Daphnia pulex: one gene and its partner. The main gene of each other region encodes a partner of the protein of the gene in region 2 in a complex. Links are inferred from orthologs where the notes say so. Each region holds a gene or a part of one and is shown on either strand. Other genes may lie near its edges.

What was found.
Region 1: the proteins of elongation factor 1-gamma-like (region 2) and elongation factor 1-beta-like are in contact, whole or in part, in a crystal structure (PDB 5DQS), measured with the Homo sapiens proteins. The link is inferred for Daphnia pulex from reciprocal best matches to the Homo sapiens genes EEF1G and EEF1B2. Residues at the interface, in NP_001395.1 of Homo sapiens: Leu146, Lys147, Thr148, Arg149, Thr150, Phe151, Glu155, Arg156, Pro185, Asn186, Arg189, Leu192, Thr193, Asn196, Gln197, Pro198; in NP_001032752.1 of Homo sapiens: Ala20, Asp21, Lys22, Ser23, Tyr24, Tyr28, Val29, Cys50, His51, Arg54, Asn57, His58, Ser61, Tyr62, Glu65.

Annotation. Positions count from the first base shown.
Region 1 is NC_060021.1:6,594,142-6,597,286, forward strand, and holds elongation factor 1-beta-like, read right to left. Parts: upstream 1,738-3,145; 5' UTR 1,616-1,737; coding exon 1,536-1,615; intron 1,419-1,535; coding exon 1,199-1,418; intron 1,141-1,198; coding exon 951-1,140; intron 891-950; coding exon 736-890; 3' UTR 617-735; downstream 1-616. Other genes in the region: heat shock protein 60A-like, read right to left, coding at 2,588-3,109. UniProt on the Homo sapiens protein: Catalytic subunit of the guanine nucleotide exchange factor (GEF) (eEF1B subcomplex) of the eukaryotic elongation factor 1 complex (eEF1).
Region 2 is NC_060020.1:8,828,619-8,832,941, reverse strand, and holds elongation factor 1-gamma-like, read right to left. Parts: upstream 2,797-4,323; 5' UTR 2,514-2,796; coding exon 2,502-2,513; intron 2,394-2,501; coding exon 2,244-2,393; intron 2,178-2,243; coding exon 2,114-2,177; intron 2,051-2,113; coding exon 1,908-2,050; intron 1,831-1,907; coding exon 1,533-1,830; exon of another isoform or gene 1,478-1,532; coding exon 1,118-1,477; exon of another isoform or gene 1,044-1,117; coding exon 919-1,043; exon of another isoform or gene 892-918; intron 820-891; exon of another isoform or gene 756-819; coding exon 600-755; 3' UTR 534-599; downstream 1-533. Other genes in the region: uncharacterized protein LOC124193185, read left to right, coding at 3,214-3,310, 3,386-3,602, 3,822-4,129, 4,190-4,323. UniProt on the Homo sapiens protein: Probably plays a role in anchoring the complex to other cellular components.

The DNA of each region.
Region 1 (3,145 bases), on a different chromosome or scaffold from region 2:
TTTAAAATGACTATTAATGCCACATGTGAGTTGTCAGTCACTAAATTTAAAAAATAATCCAAATAATCACAACCAATTGTGGCACCTTTACCTTTCTTTAGTCGTAATTTTAGCATACTAATCACTACAATTTTGTGTCTCAGTCATAAATTTAAAAATAATCCTTGGCCAATAAACATAGCCTACAAGAAACAAGAGTTACATAAACTTCCCTACCTTCTCTCAAAACTCCCTTTTCTTATGATGAAACATTTCAGGCACAACTTATCTAACAGATGAACTCACTAAATTTTCATGTAGTACGTTAGTACGACACTGAAGAACTAAACACATTTTTGGTCGAGACTACATCACGAAGCATGTAAACACAACACTGTTGCCAAGTTTCTGTAACTTAACTTCTCTTTTTAAAACAGCTGAGCTGATGAACACGTCTTAAACTCTTTATCAGGGATATGGAGAGAATTTCTCTCCATACCCCTGACTTAATTAAAAGGTTTAAAGCTAACTAAGAATTCTTCTTTCGTGTAATCGACATTCCCTTTAACCACATGAACTAGGCTTGAGCATTACGGAATCTATTCATAATATGATGGCAAATGAAGTGTACTATGAGTAACAACCCAGCATGTTTATTTCAATCAGCCAGTAATTGTGGAGCCAGGCACTTTGCACGATTAGCATTCAAAATATCTGATAACACGAGCCGGCTCAGCTCCGACACAATGATTTTATTTAAATTTTATTGAAAGCGGCAATATCGACTGATTGGACCAAATCTTCGAAGTTCTGAATTTCCTCTGTAAGCCAGTCAACAGAAACTTTGTCATCTTCAATGACGCATCCGATTTGGAGCTTCTTGATACCATATGCCAATGGTACAAATTTACCTGAATAAACAATACAGTTTTAATTGGCTGTAAAAAATGTGTTTCATTGAAAATACTTACACTGTCCCCAAATAAGACCATCACATGTGATGGTTTTTACAGCTTTCTCCATGGCTTCCATGTCTGTCTCATCATCCCAGGGTTTAACATCTAGGACAATTGAGGACTTGGGAATAAGCGCAGGTTTCTTGGATTTCTTTTCACTGTAGGCTTTAATTCTTTCTGCCTTGATCTTCTCAGCAGCCTCATCCTACAGCGGAAATTTCTGTTAATACTCATTAACTGAGGGATTTGCCTATGGTTAGTACCTCTTCGTCATCAGATCCAAACAAGTCAACATCATCATCATCATCATCGGCTGGTTTGCTGGCTGGGGCTGCAGCAGCAGATTTGGCACCTGGGAATTTGCTGGTTTCAGACCCAAATGATTTAATGTGGTTGTACCAGCGGAGAGCATGTGGGAAGCTGCTGGCAGGGGCCTTTCCTAAAGCTTGGAAGGTGGTCACGTCCGCCTGAGACGGTTCATATCTATACACAAGAATATAACATCGACATATTTTTAGATATAACGAAACGGAAAGCATGCTCAAGAAACAGTTCTATTGTACCCGGCAACACATACTTAAAATAAAGTGAAAAACTTACCCTTCAATGTAACTTCTATCGGCTAGGAATTCGTTAAGGGCCTTAACACCATTTTCAGTTTTAAGATCGCCGAAAGCCATGATTATTTTATCAGGTCTGAAAGGAAGAAACCGACTGAGGGTAGAAATTGACACGCGATTCGGCAATGGCAGACACCAAAGAGAGACGGTTACGTGTTGCCAGATAGCTAAATATTTTAGTTCGTTTGTCCACCGTCGTCCTAAATCCCCCAGGCAGTAAAAGGGAAGGGAAATGCGAATTTTTACGGGAAAATTCAAGGACACGTTAAAGTTTAATGCACTTTTAAAGCTATAACAATTAATTTTTAATTCAGAAATTTCATTACTGATTTGGAATGAAATCATATTTTCTATGAGCAATGTGCATTTTCAATTCGTTGTGCTTGCGCAAAACTTAATGACTGCATCAATTTTAATCTGAATTCTTAAGGTCATTTTATGATACCCTTTAGGAAGGGCTTGTTTTATTTTAATTGAAAAACGACCATTTGTTAGTAAAGTCCTTGTCCTGAGATTGGTTATTTTATCCAACTACACTAGAAATATTTTATGTAATTTGTTTCAAAATTTAACCGAATAAACGTCAGTTGTTAACTTTTACGTTCATTGCAATTTATTTAGCAATTTTTTATCGATGAATTCCAGATGATTCAACCCAAACTATACCCTTTACCTTCCTTCTCTTTCAAAAACATAGAAGGTTTTACAAAAAACTGTTCATGTATTTTTTTTTTTTTTTTTAGAAAGTAAGACTTTATAATGATTTACTACGAAAAAAAAACGACAGTAGTGTCTCCTATCACGAGTGATTCATACGTGTCCAATACTACGCTGTAGAGCTGATAATTGTGCCTTCCAGATCGATGAATGACTCAAGATTGAACAGCAGTAACATGATTACATAAACTGGGATGTCAAACAAGAGGAATGAAAATCTCCAAAATTACCGCTATACAACTTGACAACACCACTACAATCAAGAAGGTAAGTAACATGAAAGGTTGGAACAGAAATTGACTTGGATTTGGGACGTTACATCATTCCGCCCATACCTCCCATACCACCCATGCCTCCCATTCCGCCCATTCCTCCCATGCCGCCATCGGCCTTCTCTTCTTTGGGGATTTCACAAACAACACATTCTGCTGTTGTGAGGAGGGATGCAACTCCAGCGGCATCAGTAAGAGATGTTCGGACAACTTTAGTAGGGTCAATAATACCGCGTTCAATCATGTTGACGTACTCATTTCGGAGGGCATCATAACCAATGGAAGCTTCAGAGTCCATAACTTTAGAGACGACGACGGAAGCATCAACTCCAGCGTTTTTAGCAATAGTCATGCAAGGCATCCTCAAAGCGCGACGAATAATGTCGATGCCAACTTTTTGATCTTCATTTGCATAGGACAGCTTGTCCAAAATAGGAATACAGCGAAGTAGAGCAGTTCCGCCACCAGGAACGATACCCTCCTCAACGGCAGCTCGGGTGGCGCAGAGTGCATCGTTAACACGATCCTTTTTCTCGTTCACTTCAACTTCGCTTGATCCACCAATCTAAAGAATTAAAACATTAGAAAATGACCCGTGGAG
Region 2 (4,323 bases):
ATATTATGGTAAAAACGTTAGGGTTTGTCAACATGATCACAGCTCGTCTTAATGACCAAGCGAACCAATAAACACTTTGTAGCTGGGCTTAGAGCTTGGATCACTTGAGTATAAAATAGTTAGCCAAATTGTTGGTGTAATCGAGCACTAGAGGCACTACTGTTGATTATTCCTATTTCGCCTGTGAAATCGATCCATCAGCTTGGAAAGTCGGAGAACCTGGTGCTCTGTTGTATGTTAATCCGCCTTTTTTTGTAAAAAGCTTTTGTGCACCATTTTCTCGTTCATAACAAATTCTAAATTTTGTTTGATAATTGGTATACCAAACCACGCAAATTATTGTTCAAAACGCTTTGAGATGTATAAATACTGCTTTGAAGTTATTAACATGAGCGTGACTTGCAACTCATCAAAGGGGAGTGTAATAAAATGGTCTGTGACCCCAATGGAGAATCAAAGAGGGGATTAAGCAATATATTCTTAAATCAGCAAGCTAAAACAATTTAATGTAAGTCTGAATGAACTCCAACATATCAAGTAGCTCATCAGTTGTATTGATAATGGTTGTGATACAACACTCCACGAGTATAGATACCAAACTACTTGAAAATCTTTCCCTGGTTGAAAGGACGACCATTTTTATCAGTGCCGGACCAGGCAAAATACTCCGCCACCATCTTCTTGGTTTCATCTGAATCAGGGTTCAATTTCTTCCAGTCGTATGTCTCGTAGTCAATCTGCCAATCAGGACACAACTAAACAAAAAATATTGTTAAAACTTAGATCCATTACTTCAAGCAAAGCTAAGCTTAAAAACAGGTAAGTCTTATTACTTTCCCTCTACTTGTTACACAAAATATCGAAAACAAAAAATATTTGTGTCTTTGAAAGAGGTAACATCATTGTAAACCATCTTACCTGGAAAGCTAAATCTTGCCCACGCCACACCCAAATTCCTGAAATGGTACAATCATTGTCTGTTCCAAATAAGCACATGGATGCAAAGCATTGTTTCCTCATTTTATCCAAACGTTGATACATGCCTATTAAAAAATGTGAATATTATGGGATTTCTTCTTTGAAAACAAAAAAAAAAAAAAAAAATTGTGGAATATACCAGAGATTAAATTGCAAGACATGAAGACTTTGGTAAGTTCATCAGAGTATTTGTACTCTCCAAACCAGATAGAATAATTTTCCTTGTCGAATTTGTCCCAGAAATAAGGGATGGATTTTGACTCTTCATTGTTAGAATAAAATCTTTTGAAATCATCCATGTTGAATGTTCCTTTGGGCATTTCATCAAATGGATCCTTGGACTTGGGTTCCTCTAATAGGGCTGCATCAGCTGCATCCATTTCCTCAGCCTCTTCTGGCTCTTCCTTCTTTGGCTTTGGTTTCTCTTCTTTTTTCTCTTTCTTCTTTTCATCCTTGACAGATTTCTTTTCTTCCTTTTTCAGAGATCCAGTTATTTTACCTGTTGACACATTGGATAAAAATGGCAATGAATTAAATGTTTAGAATTTTCTTACTCTGAAATTCAGCAAACTTCTTGGGATCAACTGGACACTCTTTCTGGCATATCTTAAAGTCTCCAATGATGGCTTTGAATTGTGGTTGGTTAACACAAGTAATAAACCATCTATTCAAATTTTGATAAGGCTTCCTGTTAGTTTCATCACAAATGCTCTCATAAAGGTGGAGAAGATTGCTAGAAAGAACAATATCTGCAAGAGTTATTTTCTCTCCAACCAAAAAGGTGCGTGTAAGAAGGTGGTTGTTGACGACAGACAAAATAGCCTTCAATTCTTCTTTAGCATGTTCAACAGCCTATACAAACAATACACCAATTAACATTGTACATATAAAATTAGCTTTGCACAAATAAACTAAAATAAGAAACATACTTGTTTGTTGTACTGAATGATTCCAAGGACAGGGAAAACAATAGTACAGGACAGTGGAAGAATTTCACTGTCGGCAAATGACATCCACTGAAGGACTTGGGCCTTTTCCACGTCACTGTTTCCTCGAAGCTGCTGGTTGGCAACTGTTCAATAACACTCATTACATCTCAATTCCAGAGGAATACTATTTTAGTAGTAATATTTACCGAAATATGCAATTGCATTGCTCTCAGCAATGCACTGCCCATCTTGGGATTCAAAAGCTGGAACCTATCAATACAATCACATAGACTTAAAACTTTCCACCATGAAAATGAACCGCATAAAGAAAATTACCTTTCCCAACGGAAATTTCTTCAAAAAAGTTTCACTCTTGTTGGTCTCGCCGAAGACGAAGTTGGAAGCGACATTTATTTTGAAACCAGAGTATTGAGCAGCAATCAAAGCCTTATTGGCCCTGAAGTTGCTTGGGTAAGTGTACAAAGTCTAAAATTAAAAAAACCCGATTAATTAGATATTGGACAACAGAATCACGCTTTAAAACACAAGAAGATGTCACGGAATTTCTTAGATTCAAACACAGATCGTACTTACTCCAGAAGCCATGATGATCAAATGCAGGGACGAGAACCTGACGTGGAACCAAGAAGAAGTCTGCTGCAAGAGAGAACGAGCTCAAACGTGAGAATAGTTGAAAATTTCTACATGGCAACGCTGTTAAGCGCGCAGCCCTTTGTTGGTCTGCCTTGCGGGCCACTCTTGCAGAGTTGCAGTTAGGATGTGGAAAGTGGAATGTGGAATGTGGAAGTGGAATGTGGAGGTGGAAAGTGGATACTTAAAACGGAATAGAGCTAGAACTTTAAAATGCAAACACTAGAATGCGACACTAGAATCGCCGCTAGACCGACCTGGAACCGACGGAACAGAACTATGGTTTTTTTACGTTTACTCATGCTCTTCTTGTCTTCTAGAGATCAAAGGCTACCTGACTTCTATAGGCTGCCGGTCGTGCCACGACATCTTTGGGGAGAAACTGAGAATCCATGAAAGCATCAACTGTCTTAGCAGCACTTAGCAGGAAGGTGTACTTCGGTAGTTCGGTCTCGGTGGTACTTCGGTACTTCGGTAGTCGGTACTTCATGGACTTAGCACGAAGACAAGAAGTGTATCAAGCTCAAACTGTGTTAAAAAGAACAGTTTTACGCGAGTCAAGAAAGGACTTCAAACCAAACAATTCAAATATTTTCAAATAATTAACTCAGTGCATTCATCTGAAGTCGGAGCGTTAGTGTAGAAAGTAAACAAAATGCCCGCCATTGTTTTAGAAAAGCCGAAACTCAGCAGACCTATGTGGAATTCATTAAAATCACACATAATCAGAGAGAGACAAAGGAAAAAGCAAGGTTGTTATGATGAAGCTCCACAATAATTGTGTTAATGTTTCAATTGTGCTCTGTAACTCATTTACTCTTAAACAGAACAAGAAGCTGATGCTGAGGTCGAGCGACAGCGAAGAGAAAGAGAAGATCAGCAAAAAGAACAAGAGATGACTTTAGAAGAAACTAAGGAACAAGTTGCTCAGTCAGAATCCAGGCTTTCTCAACTGAAAGAGGATAAGCATCAATTATTTCTGCAACTCAAAAAAGTTCTAAATGAGGATGATACGAGAAGAAAAATCAAAGAATCCAGTTTCAAGTATGCTATCTATTTTTTCTTTTAAAATTCATTCTTAGCATAGAATAAGAAGACAATATTCATGCTGAAATATCCTAGGAAGTGTGTAAATAGTAAATGGACACTAAAAGTTTAATTTGGTAAAATTTTCCCTACCAGTGTTCATATCAAGAGTGATCAATATCCTATGAAATTTTTGTCCATATGAATTAGATTAGAAACTCAAATATTTTTCATTAGCAGTGATATGATGCTGTTTCATCCCTATCCATCTGGAGCTCCATTAGTGCATCCAAACACCCATGGTTCTGTGTACATGCATCCTAATCTTGGGGCTTCAAGGCCAGTATTTAATGGAGGGAAGGAAGAAAGCATTTTGAATTTGCAAGGAGTGCCTCCTTCATCACTTTATGGACAAGCAATCAATATGGTTCCTTCTCTTGGACATCAAAGTCAAACAAATCAGAAGAGACCTCGTAGTCCATCCCCACCACCACCACAGCTGTATCATTCTTACAAGCCACCAGCCCTTTCCCCATACAATTCAAGTATAAATCATTCTTGGTGAGCACTATACTGATTTATTTATTGTTTACTTTCTTTTCTAGAGAGTATAGGTAGTCCCTATGGAGGGAGCCCTGCAGTTCCAGGCAGCATCTTTTACACTCACTCAGTTTCTGTAAGTGCTGCCCATAGCGCAGCCAGTGCTGGTTACCAACTTCCTCCAGGATCCATGTACAGC